Notamacropus eugenii: one gene and its partner. The main gene of each other region encodes a partner of the protein of the gene in region 2 in a complex. Links are inferred from orthologs where the notes say so. Each region holds a gene or a part of one and is shown on either strand. Other genes may lie near its edges. The genes, in order: ARL6 and BBS7.

Region 1 (11,372 bases), on a different chromosome or scaffold from region 2:
GCACACTATGATCATATAAAAGGACACAAGAATAAACAAGAATGGACACACATATAAAGGATTACAATTACTTATACAGTCATTATACTTAATTAATTGTACTTATATTAATTATACTTATACAACTACTTATAAAGAGTAACTGTACACTTGTATACAATTGTATATTGTATAATAAGTATACTTATATTAATTAATTATACTTATAATTATACTTATACAATTACTTATAAAGAGTAATTGAAAAGTCCTAACATTTGACAAACAAATTCATTGCACAAACAGTTGTAAGGCAATTTTGGGTTGTACTAATATTTAATATGATAATAAATCACTTATAAAACAGATTTAATTAGATTTGAAAACCAAGGGCAGGAGAGTGAATTTGTTTATCAGATAGTATCAGGTACTTCATTTTTACTGAGAACCAAAGTAAATAAAGCAGGTTTAAGTTAGGGGACACATCTTGCCTAGAATTGTTAGCAAATTTTTACTAAGAGATGAAGACCATGTAAACTCTTTCCATGTGGAGGTATTAAAGTACAAGATACTTAGATATATTCATTTGAGATAATTTAGATACACTGTAGTATATTAGGTCATGTTTCCTCACTATGCACATACTATTCAAGTTTCCTCTTCCAAGATGAAAATGACCATTCAGTTATATTTCACATTTGGCTAAATTATTTATACTACAATAGGGTCCCATCACATTCACATACTATACCATAACTTGCCTATCCCACAAGTGATGGGCAACCCTTCAGATTCTTGTTGTCACTTCATAAAGAGCTACAGGTATTTGAAAATAACTTTAGTGAGTTGCTTAGGACTAATTTTTCCACATTTCCCCTCTAATTCCCTCTCTCCTTCAAATTTCCCTGTTGAGTGAAATGTAGTTCTCTACCCAGCTGTGTGAATGTGTATGTATTCTTCCCTTCTTTGACCAGTTCAGAAAAGAATGAGGTTCAAGTGTTAACTGTACCCTAAACTGCTTCCCTCTTTATTTGTATAGACTTTTGATGACACATCTCAATTATTTCTCCTTGCTTTTCCTTCTCTTCACCTTCCCTTGTGTATTCCTCTTCCCCTCCCTTTCCATTCTTCTTTTAAGATCAGATATGAGATATAAAAGAACCACTTCCAGGATTTCTGTCCAATTGGATTTTCTCTATGACTACTGTTGATGACAGGATTCAAAGTTGTGCTGTGTTATTTTCAGTCAAGTACAACTCTTTGTGACCCCATTTGAAGTTTTCTTGGCAGAGATACTGCCATTTCCTTCTCCAGCTGATTTTACAGATGAGGAAACTAAGGCAAAGAGGGTTAAGTGATTTGCCCAGGGTCACAATAGCTAGTGTATGAGGCCAGACTTGAACTCAGGAAGATGTATGTAGCTTCCTGATTCCAGGGCCAGAGTTCTATCCGTTGCACACTTAGCTGCCCCAGAATTCAAAGAGGATACATATATCATCTCCCTGTTTTAGATTGTAAGCAGTTTATCCCTGTTAAATCCTTTATAATTTTTTATTTGTGTTTATTTTTTTGTTTCTCTTAACTTCTTTGTGCTTGAACTTCAAAGCTTCTATTCAGTTCTTTTCGTCAGGAATACTAGAAAGTCCTCCTTTTCATTAAAGGTCCATTTCTCCCAAGATTATATTCAGTTTTACTGGGTAGGATTATATCATTTCCCTTCCAGAATATTATATTCTAAGCTCTTCACTATTCTGAAGGGGTGGCTACTAAATCACGTGTGATTCTGACAGTCCTTATATTTGAATTCTTTCTGACTACTTGCAGCATTTTTTTGTTTACCTGGAAGCTCTAGATTTTAGCTACTATATTCCTGAGGTTTCTTTTAGAAGGTGACTGGTAGACTCTTTCTATTTCCACTTTGCCCTTTGGTTCTAGGAGTTCGGGGCAATTTTCTTTTAAGATTTCTCGATACATGATGTTTAGACTATTTTGGTTCTGGTTTTCAAACTGTTCAATGAATCTGATGGTTTTTTGTCTCATTGAACTGTTTTCCAAGGCAGTTGTTTTTGCTATGAGATACCTAATATTTTGTTCTAAATGTCTTTTGATTTTGGCATACTCTTTGTTGTCTAATTGGTTTTTCCTTATCTATTTTCATTTTCAGGGAGCATATGCTGCTTTGGCAAGGTTTTATACCTTTTGTATCAAATTGTTAATTCACTTTCCAATTATTTTTACCACAGCTCTCATTTCTTTCCCAGTTTTTCCTCTAAACTCTAAAGCTTTCTGAAACAACAGCATTAGATTTCATCTAATTTGTAAAAACATTAACTTTTTTTTAAAACTCTTGCTTCCTTTCTTCTACAAATTCTAGTTGAATTTGTGCCCAAAGTGTATTTTTCTTTGAGACTTTGCTTGAAGATGTTTTGGGGTCATTCTATTCTTCTGAGTTTATGTATTCAGTCCCTGTCACCACATAACAGTTTTGGATGGCAGCATTTTTTTTTTTTTTGCTCATTCTTTCAACCTACTTCTGACTTCAGGCTTTATGTGAGGGCCAGGTTCTGCTCACTACCAGATGGAAAGTCTGGACTTAATCCATTGTTGCTCTCTTGAGAGTAGTGAGAACTGTGTTATTCTAGACAAATTTCAATGCTTTCAAAGTGCAGGGCAAAGTCTGATGGTTACCCCACCCTCCCCCCATCTGAGCTTAAAATTCCTGATTTGAATCTGAGTATGAGCAACAATTCACTGCTGCTGGACTAAGTCAACTGTCAGGTAGCTGGAAAGCTCTGCTACTTCAGTGACAACTGCAGGCTTCTTTAAAGTCTAGGATTCCTGCCTGGTTATTTCTCTAAAGGCTTCAAATTGTTCTAGAGGCTAGAACAGACACTCTTCTCTGTCCATAGGTTCCTTCCTCAGGCTACTCTGGATTTGTGACCCAGAACTGATACTAGGTAACAAACCTGCCAATTAATACCTGTCCCCAGGTCACTATATGAGGTCACCTTATGGTATAGGTGTGGAGGTCACTTCTGGCCCTCACACATAGTCTCTGTGAACTGAAAGTGCTCAGAAGAACCCACTCCTGGAGTTTGGTGAAGGAACTCACTGTACTCCTTCCTACTATTCTGCCTTCTTGGTTCTACCTCACAAGTGATCTCTGCCTGTATTTACCATGAAAAGTGCCATGCAGAGGAGGCCAAGAGTCTTGAAAAAGTCTCAGCCAGCAAACATTTAATCTTCTAAGAACAATACCAATGTAGAAATATAAACCATTTTGAATTGTGGAAATAAGTTTTATTGGTATCTTTTATTTTTACATCACTTACATTTCTCCACTGTATGTCTACTGACCCCCTCCCAGAAATCCATATCTTATAATAATTGAAAAAGAGAAGAAAAAAATGCTCCACAAATTAATCAACATATCATAAAAAGAATGATACTCTTCTGTAGTCCATAAGCCATTTCTTGATCCTGTTATATTTTTGAAAATTATTAAAATACCACATTGAAGTCACTGAAAAGTAAAGCATATGTTAATTTAATTTGGGTGCTCCCCTCCAATGCTTTGGAGAATTTTCTCATCCTCTGTCACAAGTGTGGGCACATAAACTTTTCTCCACAGTAATCTTTTTTATGAAGATTGCTGCAAGGGGAAATGATCAAATAACCCATGAAATTCTCTCTCTTTCAGCCTTTGGATACATAAGAAAATCAACTCCACCATTCCTTTGACTTTGCAAAGAAAACCTAGAGCCTTCTTTCCCATTTAGGTATAATTTTTTTTATCTTCTCGTTTCATTTGTAGTATTGGTTTTACGCTTTCTAGCAATCTGTTTTTTTAGCATAATTCTTTAAATGCATAGAATAAAATATGTAGGATTACAAAGGAAATGAATCCTACTGAAATACAATTCTTAAAATAAGTTTCTTTGGCAACAGCAGGTGAACTGATTGGCTGCTGTGTCAGGAATGAATACCCATAAATCACTCTATAAGCGGAAGGGGGAAACCCAAGCTGGGGGCATTCATCCTGTATTTTTCTTCGTTTTGTTTTTTATTTCCTAGGTGACCAGAGCAAAAAAAAAAAAAAAAAGCCATCCCTTCCCGGCGTGAGAAGGAGCCTGTCTGGACCCGGCAGAAATGAAGGCAGACGTGGTCACTGCGGACACCTGAGTTGTCCATGGGTGGGTCTGGCCCACGTGACAAAAAGGACGAGGTCACCCTCATTAACTGACTCACCTTCCGGAACCAGCGGAGCCCCTTCCCTCACCCCAGACTCGGCCTCCTCTCGGGGGGCGGAGCGGGACCCCGGCGCGGCTCGGGCTGGGGCACGAGGGACCCCCTCCTCAGCTCCGACCCCATCTACGAGGACCCGCCCGGCGGCCGGAGGGATTCATCCGCCCGGGGCAAGAAGGTCGGGAACACCGAAGCGCCCGCAGAGTCTCCCGGGAGGCAGCGGAGCAGCGAGCGGTACTGCTGACGTCCCCTAGGCAACCGCGGCCTCTTCCGGCCCTTAGGCCCCGCCCTCCCCAGGCTCCTCCTTTCTTCTTCCTCTTACGGGAATTGGCTCTATCCCCTCAGCCTGGGCGGAGTTTGATGGAGAAGGTCGGCCCGCCTTTTCCCCGCCCGGGCCTTGGTGGGCGGGTTGGGAGGGAGTGCGCATGCCTGACTGATGAAGCGTGCAGGAAGCCTTTCCGCCTTCGAGTGTAGCTCTGGCCCGGAACTGGCCGATGTGGCGAATGACGGCATCCGCCTCGTAGCTTCACGGGAAATGTAGTCCTTTTCGGACTGCCCGTGAGCCCCGCCCAAAGCTAGCTGCCTTTGCTTGGAGCAGCCCCGAGTCTGTGTGGGTGGCCCCCTGCAGGGACTGAAATGGAATAGGGTCTCGGTGTTTGTTGTACCTTGAGGCGCCTCCTCGGAGGACAGGCTGGCCTGAAGCTGGGCTGCAGAGCACGCGTTCTGAGCGAGGCTCCTTTGTAAAGTTTTAACTTGGACACTTTCCTTTCCTCCAGGTTGGGGGTGGGATGGGCTGGGGCGCGGATCGAGTCCCCTGGTTTTTGTTTTAAAGGACAAAAGAGATGCCACCGCAGTGCCCAGCCCCTCCTAGCTCTTTCGTCATCTTGGGGCTATGGGAACAGAACCTCGTCTAGCTCAGGATCCCGAAGTTCTGGTGCCACCGAAGGGACGCCGCTCTGTCCTAGGTCTCCTGCTTATACAAGCCGTCCTTAATTAAGCAAGCTTCCTTCTCCCTTTATTATACCTTATTCTTAGCTATCTCATCCGCCTCTCTGCAGTTTATAACTTTATATATAAGTATATAACTTGGGGCACTGAGGGTTGAAGTCATTTTCCTAGGATCACAGCCAGCATTTATCTGAGACAGGGCTTGACACCAGACCTTCCGGACTCTGAAGCCAACCTTCTATTTACTGCTCCCCAGTCTATAAGAGCCACCCTAATCTTTCCTCCAGACTCCAGTTTCACATCTCCAACTTCGGCTAAACGTCACTCACACCTATGTCCAAAAAGGAATTCATTGCCTCCAAAATCTGCTCCTTTCCCAAATTCCTATTTCTGTTGACATCATCCTCATCCAGTCACTTCAGTTTAAAGCTTGAGACATTTTTGACTCCTTCCTCTCCTTCACCCAATAAATTGTAAAAACCCCCGTTCTAACTTTAGGATACATTATGTCCATCTTGTTCTCAGTACTCACACTAGTATCATCCTACTCATCAGATCAGATACTGTATCCTAAATGATGTCAATTTCTTTAGTTTTTTTTTTCCCTCTTTAATCTTGACCTTCACACAGCTATCAAAAAAAAAAAAAAAAATCTGAGCGTAGTATTCTGTTTCTCAAAAAATTGTCAGTGGCTCATTGTTGTCTTTAGGATACAATTTCCTTACCCTTTTTGCGGTTTCTGTAGGGCTTCTTACCGCCGTTGTAATTGTTACTGTTCACATCTAATTAAGGAACTCATAATAATAGTAACATTTTATAATATCTGCCCTCTGCCGGGCATTGTGTTATTGCTTAAGGTCACCCAACTAACAAATTTCAGATCTATGAACTTATTTTAGTGTCAAATAATATAATAAATTCTGACTTATTTTAAACATCAAATTAGGAAAAACATTATTTCACTTAAATTGTGACCAAAATTAATTGTATTACCCAGATCTATGTTCCAAATGGTATTACGTGGAATCTAAGGTTAGGATTTTAATGTTAACTGTAATATTATATTTTACACAAATGCTTCTTGTTCTAAACTTTTCATATTATGAGGTCCACTATTTCCACCTAATCCAGGGGCAATCTGATACAACAATTTAATCTACCCCAACTATCATACTTAAGAGCATGTTTTAATTAGTTCAAATCTGTGTTCTACTATCTTGGAAGGAACCCGTAGCTTATTAATTCCTCCATAGCTCTCTATGATTTCTTAAAATGAATAGGAGTGTCATATAATTTAGTAAAATTTCCAATTTTAACACACATACTGATTTTTTAAAAAATTATTTCAAAATTGACCAGTACTTACTTTTAGTTTATAAGACTCCCTAAATTCTAGTTGAGATATTCCAGTCAAAGTCAATTGCCTTTGATGGTATCCTGTATCACACAAACCTTTTCTCTTTCTGTGATCCAGGAAAGGTTTAAATACAGCTTTGTGACTTTCACTGGCACTGTCCCCAAACCTTCCTCTCTTTGATCAGTGAAATGACCTTTTTTCTTTTAGATCTGAGGGAAAAGGTTCCCCCTTTCTTTTTCCTTGTCTGTTCCTCCACATCCCTGAATCTGGCCAGAATTCAGGGAGAAAGAAAGAAGGAGAGAGAGGGAGAGAGAGGGAAAGACAGAAGGAGAGAGAGAGGGAGAGAGAGGGAGAGAGAGAGAGATAGAGACAGAGAGAGAGAGAGAGAGAGAGAGAGAGAGAGAGAGAGAGAGAGAGAGAGAGAGAAAGAAAGAATTTTTACCAACCATGTTTTCTTTCCAGTGCTTTCCAAACCTTACTTGCAAACCCTCTGTTCACACTTTCAGCTATGACTTCAAAGTGATGAGAAAGCTCATCAATCTTTTTCTAGCTTCTCTCTAGCTACAGCCCTTACAGGTTTTCCTTTTTCTGGCTGGCTGCATTTTAAATCTTACAAGGAGGCAGACAGACATTTTCACACAGACACAGAGATGCAGGGGAAAGTCCACCAGCTCAGAGAGCCTTGTTAGAAATCCCCTCCACAAATCACTTTTCTTGGTCCTCTAGATTGCATTGAGGCCAGGCTCTATTACAGAAAAATATGAGGTGACTCCTTTTAGATCTTGTAAGTCGAATTTGTTCTCATTTTGCAGGAGACTGCCCAGTGGGGAGTCCTGTGGTTTGGGGGTGGGGATTGTCTTTATAATGCCAAAGGCCTAAAGATATCCTCCCTATCGCCACTGCTCACCTCTTCAGTAGTGACCCATCGAGAGAGAGAGGAAGAAAAATGAGTTCAAAAATAACTTCTCCACAAAGTTCCCAAACCTTCCCTTCCTCTGTCTAGAAAAACTTGCCAGCTGCAAGGGTCCACGGGTGCTAGGTCCCAACAATCTCGTCAAGTGTTTCTAGGTACTTGAAGGACCTCCCTGCTAAGAGAAGGGAAAGGGAAAGGTTTACCTTGGATTAAAGGGGGGTCCAAATCAGAGACTGTCCACCTAGGTTTACCAAAAATATTTTAGTTTCGTGGTATATTGTGAGGTCATCTTGAAAGAATTCACAGACTCAGGCCATCTCCAACCCAAGCAAAAGCATTTATTGAGAATTACATATCTCGGCAAGTGGGCTGAGCTCCAAGAAAGAACCGGCAGTTTAGTGAAAGCAAGATAGGAATTTTTATAAAGCAAAAGATGAAATATATACATATACATACACATAAATGGAGGAGAAAATGAGGCCAGTGACTTTGAACAGCCCTCCTTCACTGAAATCCTATTCAATTGCATGTCATAGTCCTCTTTGAGAACAAAGGACATCCCACAACCTGTGAGTAGAGCAGAAGCCAGGAGAAATTCATACAGTAGCAACAGAGTTATGAAGACAAACAGCTTTGAGAGACTTAGGAACTCTGATCAACACAGTGGAGCCAACAATAGTTCAGAGAATTTGTGATAAAATATGCTCTCTACCTCCAGATAGAAAGGTGATAAACTCATAGTGTAGATGAAAGCACATTTTTTGAACACTGATAATGCAGGAATTTGTTTTGCTTATTTATACATATTTTTCATGTTTTTCCCCCTTTTTCAGTGAATGGTAGAAAGTGAAGTGAGGAGAGAACTCAGATATTAAAAAAATTCAAAAGCTGTAGATAAAGTCCTTCCCTCTAGTATGTAGGGTGGAACCAATTTGGAGGATTTATGGGAGGATATGCATGAAAGTTTCATGGGGTAAGAGGGCATGGATGATCATAGTCCGTATCTTTGGGAGTGGTACCAACACCAATGAAATCACAGATCCATCTGAGTATTTAAATACTGCTGGTGCCTATCACAGTCTATTATACATTGTGTTTGCCCTCCCAGCTGGATTTACTTATTTTTTTCTTTTGCTCATTAAAGGAGCCATTGCCTGTTTACTTCTTAAGAAGGCCTATTCACTTCATGGGCATTACCTCACTTTAAGTGAGTGCCTGATTAGGCCAAGGTCTCCCAGTACATCCTGGGCCTCCTCCAGTCATCCTGATGAATATCTGGTCACTGGATCCAGATGACTCAGGAGGAGAAAGTGAGGCTGGTAATCTGGCACAGCCCTCCCTCCCTCAAAACAAAGTCAAGTGCAAGTCATGTCATCATTTCTCTGATGTCCTGGTCTTCTTTGAAAACGAAGGATGAATACAGACAGATGCAGACAGGCCAGTAAGTGGATTTATTTGTTTAAATTATAACCAGCATTCTTTCTACCTCCTCACCTTTATTTGACTATCCTATTGAGGACTCTACTTCTTATATCCCATTCTACTGATGGCAACTTCTCCTACTCCCCTCAGATTACATAGGTGGGAGAAGGTGTGAGCATACTCTTTATTTCCCTCTCCCACTTCTAAGTCATTTTTCTATCATCATTCCACAATGGCCTTGCTTCTTTTGTAGTCTATTCCATCCCCTAACATAATCATTAGGAAATTTACTGCTCATGTTCACAACACCTTTAACAAACTGACCTCCCAGTTCTTTACATTCATCAACTTAATTTTCTTTTCCCTGTTGCTTCAGTTACATACCTGCACAGGGATGTTTTAGATCTCACTCTTTTGAAATTATACCACCTCTAAAATTAATTTTTAAAAATTCTACTCTCTAACTGTAGAATTCTGTTTTTCTTCTTCTAATCACATTTACAGAAAATTGGAGGTAGCAATATGTGGCAAAAAAAAAGTATTGGATTTGGAGTCAGAGAATCTGGGGTTCTTCTTATGGCTCTACCTATGTGAACTTGTATGATCTTAGGCAAGGTGCTTAACTCTTTTATAGGCCTCAGCTTGCTCATCTGTAAATGATGAGGTTGGGTTAAATGACCTTTAAGGTTACTTCATGCTCTAAATTGATTTCTTATAATTCTACTCTTTGCATTTATAATGACTTTTATCCTTCTTTCTTTCTTTTTCCCATTCTATTTTCTAGATCCATTTCCCCTGACCCAGATTTCGCATGTCTCTATGCCAGGTTTGGACCCTATGGTTTCCCATTTTAATGTTTCATTTCTTAATATCCTAGAAATTCTTGCCCTTGTACCCAACCTGTGAATCCTTGTCCTTAGTTAATCTCCACGATCTGATTCTTCCACTCTTGCTCCAGTGCTGCTTAGCATTACTAGAGAAAATCACATAAATGAAATCATTCTACACACTAATTAATTCATGTTAAATAATCTCAGCTGTACCCTTGCTGCTGCTCAAGAATCCTCTACCCTTACTGACTTTTTACTTCATCATCTAGTGCCTGTTCCAACCCTTCTCTTCTGCCAAGCCCACCTCCAGTCTCCACATTTAAAGCAAATGATTTACCTATTTATTTCATTAAGAATATTGAAGCCATCCTACATGATATTCTTGGAGAATCCTCATCCATTTCTCAAACCCTCTTGGTGTCATTAATCTTTTTTCTCTTTCCCCCATTTATATTTCCAATTTAGACTATCCCTTTGCCCATGCTTTTGATCCCATTGTTTGCAATCTCAGAACATTTTTCCAGCAATTATCCCCTCTTTTATGCATCTTCAATTTTAACCTTACCACTGGTTCCTTTCTATCTGTCTGTAAACATGTCTATATCTCCTCAATCATAATAAAGACTTCCCTTGACCCTATGCCATTCATCTACTGTTCTATCTTCCTGCTCTACTTCATAGGAGAATTCTTGGGGAAAAAAATTGCTCAGTGCTCAATGTCTTTTCATCAGGAAAAATTCCTTCTCAACCTCTTACAATTTGCTTTCTCTCCTAATTCCTTTCCTGATTTAGGGAGAACATGGTTGATATTGTCAAGTTTTTGAAGGGCTGTCACTTGGAAGACAGATAAGACTTAGTCTTTATGGTCCTGGAAGGCAGAACTAGAAATGATGACTTGAAGTTGTGAAGAGGCAAATTTAGTTTGATATCAGAAAAAATTCCTAATAATTAAAACTATTGCCAACCTTGGTGACACAGGTCTGTAATCTCTGCTACTGGTGAGGCTGAGGCTGGTGGATTGATTGAGTTCATTAATTATGAATTAGAGTAAGACTAAAGCTGATTGGGTGTCTGCATTGTCTGGCACCCCTGGAAGAAGGAGACAAGGTGAGAGGCTACTCAGTTTCCTAAAGAGGAACAAAACTTCTAAGATCAGAAATGGAATATCTTGGTTCCTGAAAGTCCTTTTCTCATTATGTAGTCCTTGTCAAGTTGTCCAGGTATTTACTACTGGGCTCCAGGAATCAGTGCCTTTGCAATAGCAGTCCATAGACTTCTCTCTGTTGTGAGGGGTCATGATCACTGAAACTGTTAATATTCTCAGGTGAATATCTTTCCATCTATCTGCGGGCACTTCCTCTGTCATTTATCACTATTGTTCTGGTGAACTCTACTACTCATGAGTGAAAACTAGTCATGAGTGAAAACTTTGATGAATCTTCTGAACTTCATTGAACTTCTGGAGTGGTGGTAGAGTGCGAGAGGAAGAATTCAATTTCTCTTCCAAAGCAACGTCCTCTAAAAGACTTGACTGGAATTCTTCTATCACTAGACCAGCCTGGTGCTGGAATATGAGATTCTTTTTAAAATTTTATTTATTTATTTTATTCTTAATTTATGGAATAAAATAAGCATTTCCATAACATAATATAATAAAAAAGATGATTGCACATGGAAC
Region 2 (11,142 bases):
ATTGTAAATTAAATTGATTAAATTGTGAAATGGGATTTTTATAAATCTCTTTACAAAATTCTACTTATATTTAAGATCTTTTCCAACTTATGGTACATCTGTTGCTTCAAGTGAAAGAAACATTTTGAAATTTAAATTAATAAACAGAATATGAAATCTGGCTCTACCGTCTACTGAAAATGATTATCGATAACCTTTGAGGAAGTCATTAACAAATCCACAGATGTTAAGGCTCAAAACCAAACTGTAATGTTAATATTCATTATTGTGACAGACCAATATGCAGGTATAAGTTTTTTCCTTTTTAAAAATATAATTAAAAAGTTTTCATCCTTTTTTCTTTTTAATTCTTTACTCATTTTTAAATTAAAAATATTTTTACTGCATGATTATATACAGAGTTCACTAAAAGACAATTTTCCCTGTCTGTCTTTCTTTTCTGGCCAATATCATTAGCTGCTTCATGAGTATTACTGAAAATAATTTTGTCGTGAAGAGGAGGGAACTTTTATAATCTGTTCTGGGTGTCATATCTGTTAGGTATGCCACTGCCAATAGAATCTAGCACAGTGGGCAGATCCTTGGTGCAGAACGTAAAGAAGAATGTGGATAAGAATCATCAGGGATGAGAAACATGAATTGGGGTTAAGATCTCTAGTGATGGAAGAAACGCCCACATCAATGAGATTCCAAATGTACTCAAGTATTGAAATCTTCAGATTTCCCATACAAGCACATTTATTTGAATGCTGTACAGAAAAAGGTATTCATTTCCTTACTTATTACATGCTGGGGCATTCTCACTGATAGGGGAAAATTAATTCAAGCAATAACCCTCAATTTTAAAGCACCTTTAAAATGACTAACCTTATCAATAAGGGAAAGAAAGTATTTTAAAAACACAATTTTCCAAACACTGAATTTCCCTTCCCCAATAAATTTCTCAATTAAGTCAAATTCAAGAGAGAAGCCCACGAGCAGAGGCTGCTACACAGTCATGTATGGGAACGAATTGGCACCTTCTGGGTTGCTCTGCGTCCAGATGCCGGGAGCAGCTTCATGGTCTTCTGAGAGGTCACTCCCACCTAGGAAACAAAAGCCAGAAGGTTTCTTACTTAGCAAACTAGGATCACAGCAAGGAAATTTCAACTGTGATGAAATGGTTTACGATGAAATCCTCATCAATATCATCAGGGACAAAATTATAATCCGAATCCTAAAGACATGCCGAAATTTGTTAAAGTTGGCACAACAACTTCAACCGGAAATAAGAAACCTTCTATTTTAAATTACAAAGTAGAGGACATTGATCACGAGCTTACGACACTGTGGGAAGAATACTTCTAAAGCAAGAAAACTTTTCTGTTAAAAAAAAATCAGGCTAATAATATAATCCACAGATTCTTCCTGAACAAAGTAATTTTTCTTAAATCTCTGCAAACCTGGAAATGTAGAGCAAGAGTTAGTAGGAGGTCGTATTGGTGATACTGATCAGGAACAGTGATGACAATTACCAACTCAATTGATAAAACTCTTAGGTTCAAACACCATAAAATGTACTTTTTTCCAAGTCTTTCCCCTGCACTGGATCCTCACCTTAACTCTGGATGACAGGGAAGGCAGGTAATTCTTTTGCCCTCTTTTTTTCTCTCACCTTCCTTCTCTCCTTCTGTAATCTCATCAGCCCTGAGCAGATGACACCCAGAACTATGTGGCCAGCTCCTGTCTCGCTCCCAAGCTCCAGGCACTCACCAGCCAGGCCTGCTGGATACTGCCTATCTCTGACTGGCTGCTGGGGAGGCATCTCAAACTCAGCCTCTTTGAGCTCATCTTTCCTTCTCCCTAACTTCTTTATTTCTGCTGAAAGCACCCCATCCTTCCAGTCACCCAGATCCATAACATCGGAATCATCAATGACTCTTCTCTATCACCTTTTGTATCCAATCAGCTTTCAAATCGTGTCAATTGCTACAACCCCCACCCTAACTCAGGTCCTCATCACCTCTCACCTGCTACCACAATGGCCTTCTGACCTTCTAAGTTTGATCAGGTCAGCCCCCTGCTCAAGAACCTGCAATGGCTCCCATGTAACTCTGGGATGGCTATGTTTCCTGGTTTAGTATACATTAACTTTCCTTCACAACTCTACATTGTGCCACGCTGGTCTTAACATTCCCCATTTACAACACACATCTCCTGTCTCTATGCCTCTACAGACTTTCAGGCCTAAAAAGCACCTCTCATCCACCTCTTAGAGTTCCAAGTTTCCTTTAAAGTTCAGCCCAAGTACCACTCCTACAGAAAGCCCTTCATAACCTACTCCATCCAAGCTTCCCAGTCTTCGTACCTCTTACATGACTCCCTAAACATACTGTTTGATCCTAGGATTCTGTTCTCTGAACCAGACACTCCCATCTCTCACCCCTGGGCATTATCAAAGTCTATCCCCAAGGCCTAGAATGCTCTCCCTCCTCATCTCCCTCTTCTGGCTCCCTTCAGTTCCCAGCAAAACCCCTACCTTCTATGGGAATCCTTTCCCAAGGCCTCTTAGAATTAGTGCCTTCCCTCTGCTGCCTGTCTGCAACAGACTTTCTACAGCTCCTTTGTATATAATCGAAACATTAGCATGCTGTCTCTTCCATGACTGTGAGCTCCTTGAGGGCAGGGACTGGTTTCTGCCTTTCTCTGCATATCCAGTGCTGTGCAGAGTACCCGCACATAGAAGGCACTTAAAAAATGCTTGTTGACTAACTAATCAACCAAGCACTAGTGGCCCACCCCAAAATACATGCACTGGATATATCTAATACTTAATATTCTATGTACTCAGTGTTCCCCTCCTATAGGATGTAAGCTCCCTGATGGTAGGAAATTTCATTTTGTCTTTAGGGTCTGGCACATTTTGGTGGGGGGGGGGGGGAAGGTCCTTCCATTGGTATAGGGAAATCCCCACCATTAATGCAGATTTGCATCTGCTCTCCAATTTAATTTGCCAGTTTAATTTTCTGTTGGGGCAACAGAAGGTGAAGTAAGATACATAGAGCCACAAAGAATGTATCGGGGCATGATTTATACTCAGGTTCAAGTCAGGTTTATTATCTACCTCTAGTAGAACATGAGCAGAGACTGTCTTACTTTTCTGGACCTGTCCTCAGGGCTTAGCTCATTTAAGGTTGCTTAATAAATTCTTCCTTCCTTCCTTCATTCATTCATTCCTACAAGCTCCACGTGATCTGGGGCAGGCGACAAGTTGTGTTGCTGATGAACTGTTTTCAGTTGGGTCTGATTCTTCATGACTCCATTTGGTGTTTTACTGGCGAAGATGCGGGAATGGTTTGCCATTTCCTCCCTCAGCTCATTTGACAGAAGGGTCATTTGAGGCAAACAGAGAAAGAGCTATTAAGTATCTGGGGCCAGATCTGAACTCAGGAATGTGAGTCTTCCTCATCCCAAGCCCAGTGCTTTATCCGCTGGGTCACCAGGCGGGGACCAAACTCAGAAAGAGGGGCCACTAAACACAAGGACCACATGTTGATTTAGAAAACCATGCATTCACATTATCTACGTCCTATTGTGGCTTTACTTATTTTGGGGGAAGGGCTGTTGGCTCCACATTTGATACCTCTGCTCCAGACAAGGACTGTAAGCCACAGGGCACCTACTGATCTGCACTGGTGAAGGAAGTGTCCTGATGGAGACTTCCTTCCACTGATGAAACTGTAGGGGAAGGAAGGAAGGAAGGAAGGAAGGAAGGAAGGAAGGAAGGAAGGAAGGAAGGAAGGAAGGAAGGAAGGAAGGAAGGAAGAAGGGAAGGAAGGAAGGAAGAAGGGAAGGAAGGAAGAAAAGAAGGAAGGAAGGAAGGAAGAAGGGAAGGAAGGAAGAAGGGAAGGAAGGAAGGAAGAAGGGAAGGAAGGAAGAAGGGAAGGAAGGAAGGAAGAAAAGAAGGAAGGAAGGAAGGAAGGAAGGAAGAAGGGAAGGAAGGAAGGAAGAAGGGAAGGAAGGAAGGAAGAAGGGAAGGAAGGAAGGAAGAAAAGAAGGAAGGAAGGAAGGAAGGAAGGAAGGAAGGAAGGAAGGAAGGAAGGAAGAAAGGAGGGAAGGAGGGAAGGAGGGAAGGAAGGAAGGAGGGAAGGAAGGAGGAAGGAGGGCAGGAGGGAAGGAAGGAAGGAAGGAAGGAGGGAGGGAGGGAGGGAAGGCAGCAAGCAGCCCATGCGCCTATCGAGCCCCCCAGCTGCGCCGGTGCTCAGGGCGCAGCCTGGCTCCGCTCCGGACCCTGGCACGGCACCGAAGCTCCCAGCCTCTGGGACTCTCCGGCTGCACTAAGTGGGCTCTTAAACAAGACTCCTGCCAGCTCCGAACCTATAGTGCCCTCGAGCACATCACCCGGCCCTCTCTTGGGCCTCAGTTTCCCCATCTGTAAAATGTGTGGGTTGCTTTTAGATCTAGCTATGGGAGCCTGGGAAGGTGAGAGAGAGACTGGGAGAGGAAGAGAGAGGAGGGGCACGATGGAGAGAGAGGAATGAGGAGAGGGGGAGGGGGAGAAGGGAGGGGGAGGAGGGGTGGGGGAGGGGTGGGGGAGGGGTGGGGGAGGGGCAGGATGGGGGAGGGGAGGGGAAGGAGGAGGATGGAGGACGGAGGAGGGGAGGGGAGGAGGGGAGGGGAGGGGAGGAGGAGGGGGAGGAGGGGGGAGGAGGGATGGGGGAGGAGAGGTGGGGGAGGGGCAGGATGGGGGAGGGGAGGGGAAGGGGGAGGATGGAGGACGGAGGAGGGGAGGGGAGGAGGGGAGGGGAGGGGAGGAGGAGGGGGAGGAGGGGGGAGGAGGGATGGGGGAGGAGAGGTGGGGGAGGGGCAGGATGGGGGAGGGGAGGGGAAGGGGGAGGATGGAGGACAGAGGAGGGGAGGGGAGGAGGGGAGGGGAGGAGGGGAGGGGAGGAGGAGGGGGAGGAGGGATGGGGGAGGGGGAGGATGGAAGAGGGATGGGGGACGGGGAGGGGGAGGGGGAGAGTTGGCCCGGGCCCGGCCCGTCGCTCACAGCCCCGCAGGACCCGCCTCTCGGGCCGCAGCCTCGGCCGGAGCCGGAGCCCGGGAGCGGCCGTGAGCAGCGGCGCGTCCCCGGCAGGCCCGCAGTCAGGCCGGTTCCGGGCGCTTCTCTCACCTGTAAATAGTCGGAGCGGTTCAGGGTGAGCTCCATGGTGGGGGCGGTGGCCGAGGTGGGAGGGGCGAGGCGCCGACGCGAGCGGAGGAGCCGCGCACGAAACCCCGCCCCCTAACTCGGGCCAATGGGAGAGCGGGTAAGATGTGGGGCGGGGAGAGGGCGGGGATTCGTCCTGCGTCACGGCGGAGGATCCGCCCCCAGGAGCCCGCGCAGCCTCCCTGGCACCCAGGAGAAGGAGGGAAGGCCTTAGCCGGGAACCGTTTCCATGACGACGGCGACGCCAAACTGGCTCCGCCCCTCTCCTAGGGATGGGAGGGGTTTTCTGAGAATCCTTAAGCCCCGGTAATTAGTCAGACCACAAGCACTTATTAAGCACTTACTGTGTGCCAGGCTCTGCGCAAATGCCTGAGCAAGACTAGGCCACAAACTCGCTTTCCCTTTAATCTTTTCCTTTCCCACTGCCTCCATCTTCTGGCTCTCGCTAAGGTACAGCCTCCATATCTACCGATCGGGCATTAAAATGTACGGGGTACTATATGAAAAAACAGCAAACTCGTGCTGGACTCAAAGAGCTTGCAGTCTTAGGGGGGGAGCTGCAACGGGGGAAGGGCGTGGTGGGGAGACACCCAAGATGGTGGAGAAGACCCCAAGGCGGGGCCAGGTGACAAGTGTCTGAGCTGACCTCCCTCCTTACCTGGACGTTTGGGGGGCATGGCCCCACCCTCCAGTCAGAGGGGCGGAGGATGGAGAGGAGGTGGATCCAAGGCTGAGGGGCTCTCACAGGACGAGGAGGTTCTCCCAAGAATGAGCTAGAATGAGTAGAAAAGTCAATCAGAGAAATCCCCAAACAAGGCAGTTAGGTGAAAAATGAGGGTCTAATCAAAATCCTGGTAGCTATTGTTTTCCACAAAAAAACCATCCTGTTACCCACAAATGTACCACTTCCATGTTCACGAGCTCTGGAATTCCCCAATTAGAGCACAAGATTTTGTTAATTCCATCTCTCCCCGCACTTTGAAACCAAAAGCCCTCTTCTTCACCTCCACTCTGACTTCAGTCCCTCAAACCTTCAGTTCTATCCCAGACCATCACCCCTACACTACCTGTGCTCTCATCCTTGCCCCACCTTGAGCAATTCAACTCTATAATGCCCCCTTCCCTTGAGTCCCTTTCCTCCTATTGCCAATCTTACCCTACCAATTCTCAGCCTTGGCTCATTCCTACACATGTGCTGTTGGAAGAAGCTGGAAAAAATGATGAAACTGTTTCTACAGATTTATCTCACATAACCTTCGCTGGGCCCTTACCTATGCAGAGCAATTCTTTTCTTGTTATCATTCAGTTATGTCCAACTCTTTAAGACCTCATTTGGGGTTTTCTTGCAAAGATACTGAAATGGTTTGCTATTTCCTTCTACAGATGAGGAAACTGAGGCAAACAGGGTTAAGTGACTTGCAAAGAGTCATGCCTAATTAAGTATCTGAGGCCAGGCTTGAACTCAGGACGATGAGTGTTCCTGACTCCAAGCCCAGCATTCTCTCCACTGTACCACCTAGTTGGCCCAATCCTTTTATACCACCCTAATTAATTCAGTCTCCCAATACACAATGGCTCTTCCAAACCTTCTTATCCCTCCTCAAACCTCCCATGAGTCTCCACTCTTTCAGCTGAGAAACTTGGTTCATATTTTGTTGGGAAAAAAAAGTAATGAGGTAGGGCCTTAGAGCATAGAGTGGCAGAGACCAGAGAGACCATAGATCATAGATTGAAAGCTGGAAGGAACCTTAGAGCAAGGACAACTTCTTCAATTTTAAGTGATTTGCCCAAATTCATGGAGGTAATAAGTACCAAAGCCTGGACTTGGACCGAGATCCTGGGACTCCAAACCAAATCTTGTCTTTCTTTCCTCTACCATACCAGAGTGGCAGACTTGAGAAGGGTCTTTGACCATAAACTGGGAAGACAGCACCAGCAAAATGGCAGAAAAGATACTTTCTCTAAACCAGACTGGAAAAGAAAGGAATTGTATGCCAATAATGAAATAATTAAAACCGATCTCACAAGAAAAGAAATGGTACATGAACTCAATGAATATCTAAAGAGTTAATGGTGAGCCAGCATTAACCCAAACATTGTCCTCCTGTCAACTCTCCGTGGGTTCAGGACAAGAGGCATGAACTTCTCAGGGTTGTGACCTCAGCTATACATCCGCTGTAGTAGTGATTCTTCCCAGCCTCCAATCCCCAACACTCATTGATTCTGTCCAACCAAGCAAAGAAAATGAGGGGAGGGAAAGGAGAGATTGAAAAGCTGAAAATCATGCTGGCTTCAACTGGTTTTCCCGGCCCAGAGTCCTGGGTTAGAGGAAAACAACAGAAGAGAATAATGGGAAAGGGCCTGGAAAAGCAGCTGGGGCTGTTTAGGCACTCCAGCAGCGGCTCAAGGTGGAGAGTCTATCCAGCAACTCCTTATCTCCTAAGATGAGGAGACAAAGCCAGGCTCTGGGGACTACACACAGGGGGAGGTGTCAAAGGATGAGAAACAGGGAAAACAACACAATGGCTGATGTGCCCAAAATAGAAAGGCTTTACCCAGATCTATGGGATGAGGAGTGATGAAAGCACTTGGTCCCCAATTCACAGCATTCACAGCATGTGATTGTGTCGTATTCACTTATTACAGGAGAAAGAAATCTAGCAATCCCTGATCCCCCCCCAAAAAAAGTCCATCCTTTTCAGGCTTGGTGCTTCTGTGTGGCTGTGAACGTGTGGCCTCACGACTATTTTAGATTGGATAATTCAACTAAATCCCATAAGTATTTATTAACCACCTGTTATGTGCCAGAGTGATGGAGCGAGTGTAGGGGCCATGTAAAGAATCAGGATGAGACACAAGGTTTATCACTGAGGAAATGCATGATGGGAAATTGAGGTCTTTCAATGCTGTAGAGGTCAAGGCTGACCAAAGGATGGTCTTTGGAGCACTGAACCAGCTAGAAGTTTAAACACCCTAGAGAAAGGTTTAGCACTTTGGGTGGATCCCATATAGAAGATTTAGGAGAGAACAGGCCTAAGAATTGCCAGCTTGGAAGACATGGATGGGATGCCATCTCCACTGGTTGTGGGAATGCTCACATCAATGAGGTCATGGATCATTGGAAATAGTAAAGCAGGAGGCCCTTTTCCTGGCTTATTCTGTGTCACAGTTATCCTCCTACTAAACTGTAGAGATGCTCTCCAAAAATATTGAGTACCTACTGTGTGCTGGGCACTGTGCTAAGGTATAAATAAAGGTAAGAGGAGCTCACAGTCTAATGGGGCAGACCACATGGGAATAACCACATAAAAACAAGCTACATTCAAGATAGATGGGAGATAATGAACAGAGTGGAGGTGATCGTATTAAATTTTGTCCTTGTTCCCCAGCACATGGAAACTCCAACTCTGGATGATCACTTTTATATCACATACCTGAAGCCTAAGGGAGGTGAAATTGCAATTTGTTTTGCTTCTTATTCTTAGCATTAATAAATAATCATCAATAAAATAATAAAAATAAAACTAAAAATTTAATTTAAAAATCCTGGTGGAGAAGAAAATTGAAATTATTTTAAAATGGGAATGTCTTTAGATTTCATTTATTCCTTCTTTTTCTTTTCCTTAGGGCCAGAGAGGATCAAGTTTCTTCTGATCTAAATTATTCCTCATGGAGACAAAGAAAGCAGGGTTCTGTTTATCAGAAGGGCTTAGGACAGGGGTGAGATCAGCTGTGGCCCTCTAGGTCCTTGAGTGCAGCCTTTTGACTGAGTCCCTGTTTTATAGAACAAATCCTTTTTTTCAGGGGTTCTCCACCTCTGGCTTAGGATCATAGATTCAAAACTAGAAGGAACTGGAAAGGTCATCCAGACCCATGGCCTCATTTCACATACTCTCATTGTAGTGCAGATTCCTACCACCTTCACTCAAGAATAACCCTTTCCCATCTTAAATTTATATCATCCTTTCTGGATCCTTATTGATATCATTTTGGGGCCTTTCTCTCCTCATCAGGAAGGCTGCTCTCTGGGTCACAGTCTAGTGTTCTATCCCAACTCCTTTACTGGGCAGCTAAGTGACACAATAGATAGAGCATGGGACCCGGAGTCAGGAAGACTTACATTCAAAGCCAGCCTCAGACGCTAACTATGTGATCCTGGGTAAGTCACTTAACCCTGTTTGCCTCAGTTTCCTCATCTGTCAAACGAGCTGGAAAGGGAAATGGCAAACCCCTCCAGTATCTTTGCCAAGAAAACCCCAAATGGGGCCACAGCTGAACAACAAAATACTTTATTCTTTAAAAAAAATTTTTATGTTATTTTGCACTTCACCAACACCAATATTTCCATATAGAAAGAACAGGAGTGCTTCTGAAACTACAAAACTGTATTACATACAGTTTTTAAAAGTATGTAATGGATTCAGTGTATTCATTTCAAAATTCTTCTATTTGTTAGTGGCCCTCTTAACTTTCTTACATTCCCTCCTTTTTCTTAAAATGTTTCAATAAACTTTTTCTTTTCTTTTTTTATATCATCATCATCATCATCATCATCATCATGCCCCTTTCCTCCCCTTTATCTCCCCCAAATTAAAAACAAACAAATCCTCTTGTAATAAATACATATAGTAAAACAACACGAATTCACCCATAGCCACATCCAAAGCTGCATATGCCTCATCACACAGCTCATCTAGAGTTCCTCTGTCGGGAAGTGCACATGTATAACCTATATTGGACTGTTTGCTGTCTTGGGGAGATGAGAGAGGAAGGGAGAAAAATGTGGAGCTCAAAATCTTATAAAAAAGAATATTGAAAACTATCTTTACATGTAACTGGAAAAAAATAATTTACCAAAAAAAAAAAATGTGCCTATCAAAGATGTCCATCATGGTAATGTTGTTGGTGATAGCAAAAATGGGCCAGCAATGGAAACTATTGGCTTCACCACCCACACCGTTGTCCCATCAAGGCCAGTACATCCCTCTTGCAGATTGTCACACAGTTTGCATCGTTGCAAGACTGAACTGAAAGAGAAAATGAATCACTGTTGTGGTAAGAAGCTGGAAAACATCCCCAAATTCCTGAAATGTGTGATGCTGCCATTACAGACAGGGTTCCAGGCAATCCCAAGTGTGGAAAGCTTCCCTGGTGGTCCTCCTCCAGGTCGTTTTCGCTGGTCACGATGTGAGGCAGACCATTGTAGCTGGTGTCATCAAGGCAGCTGACAAGATGGCTGCTCCAGCTGGCCAGGTCACTAAATCTTCCCACGAGACTCAAAGGCTAAATGAATATTTGGTACAACAGCAGCCACCCCAGTCTCAATTAGTGTCTCAGAACCGTTTGTCTCAATTGGCCATTAACATTTAATGGTAAAAGCCTGGTTAATGATTACAACACATCATAAAAGCTTTAGGAAGAAAGGAATGTTGGGGTTTTTTTCCTAGACATTTGTTTCATGGCAGTTTTGAGTTATTCATTTTTAAAATCCATAATTTTTAAATGGAAACATCTTGACCAAAAATCTGTCACAGAATTTTCAGACCGTTAAAACAAATGTTAATGTGAAGAAAAACTCTTTACCAGAAAAACAAGATTTCAACCTTTTTAATTGTTCCATAGCTAATTTTGATTATAATGGTTTTGTGTGTGCTGAAGCTTTTCAGTTTTATGCAATAAAAATGGTCCATTTTATCTCTTGTGATCTTCTCTATCCCTCTTACTTGGTCCAGAGCTATTGCTTTACATATAATAGTGAAAGCGATCTCTTTCCCTATTCCTCTAATTATTTTATTATGTGATCTTTCAAATCTAGGTTCTGTATATCCATCTGGAACTTATCATGATTGTGCTATAACAAGTTGGCTTAAATCTTCTTGCAGCTTGACTGCTTTCCAATTTTCCTAGCAGTTTTTGTTGAATAGTTAAGTCCTTATCACAGTAATTGGCCTTTT

The links.
Region 1: the proteins of BBS7 (region 2) and ARL6 are in contact, whole or in part, in a cryo-EM structure (PDB 6VBV), measured with the Bos taurus proteins. The link is inferred for Notamacropus eugenii from reciprocal best matches to the Homo sapiens genes BBS7 and ARL6. Residues at the interface, in NP_001178275.2 of Bos taurus: Leu3, Ile249, Val250, Gly251, Asp300, Gly301, Tyr302, Asp303, Thr319, Glu320, Pro321, His323, Lys324, Glu325, Ser326, Gly327, Pro328; in NP_001069250.1 of Bos taurus: Met132, Asp133, Arg135, Thr139, Ser140, Val141, Ser144, Trp157, His158, Ile159, Cys160, Ala161, Asp163, Lys166.

Annotation. Positions count from the first base shown.
Region 1 is NC_092877.1:373,033,231-373,044,602, reverse strand, and holds the start of ARL6 (ADP-ribosylation factor-like protein 6), read right to left. Parts: upstream 4,557-11,372; 5' UTR 4,228-4,556; intron 1-4,227. UniProt on the Homo sapiens protein: Involved in membrane protein trafficking at the base of the ciliary organelle. Mediates recruitment onto plasma membrane of the BBSome complex which would constitute a coat complex required for sorting of specific membrane proteins to the primary cilia.
Region 2 is NC_092878.1:162,567,871-162,579,012, reverse strand, and holds the start of BBS7 (BBSome complex member BBS7), read right to left. Parts: upstream 5,348-11,142; 5' UTR 5,189-5,347; coding exon 5,153-5,188; intron 1,086-5,152; coding exon 1,020-1,085; intron 1-1,019.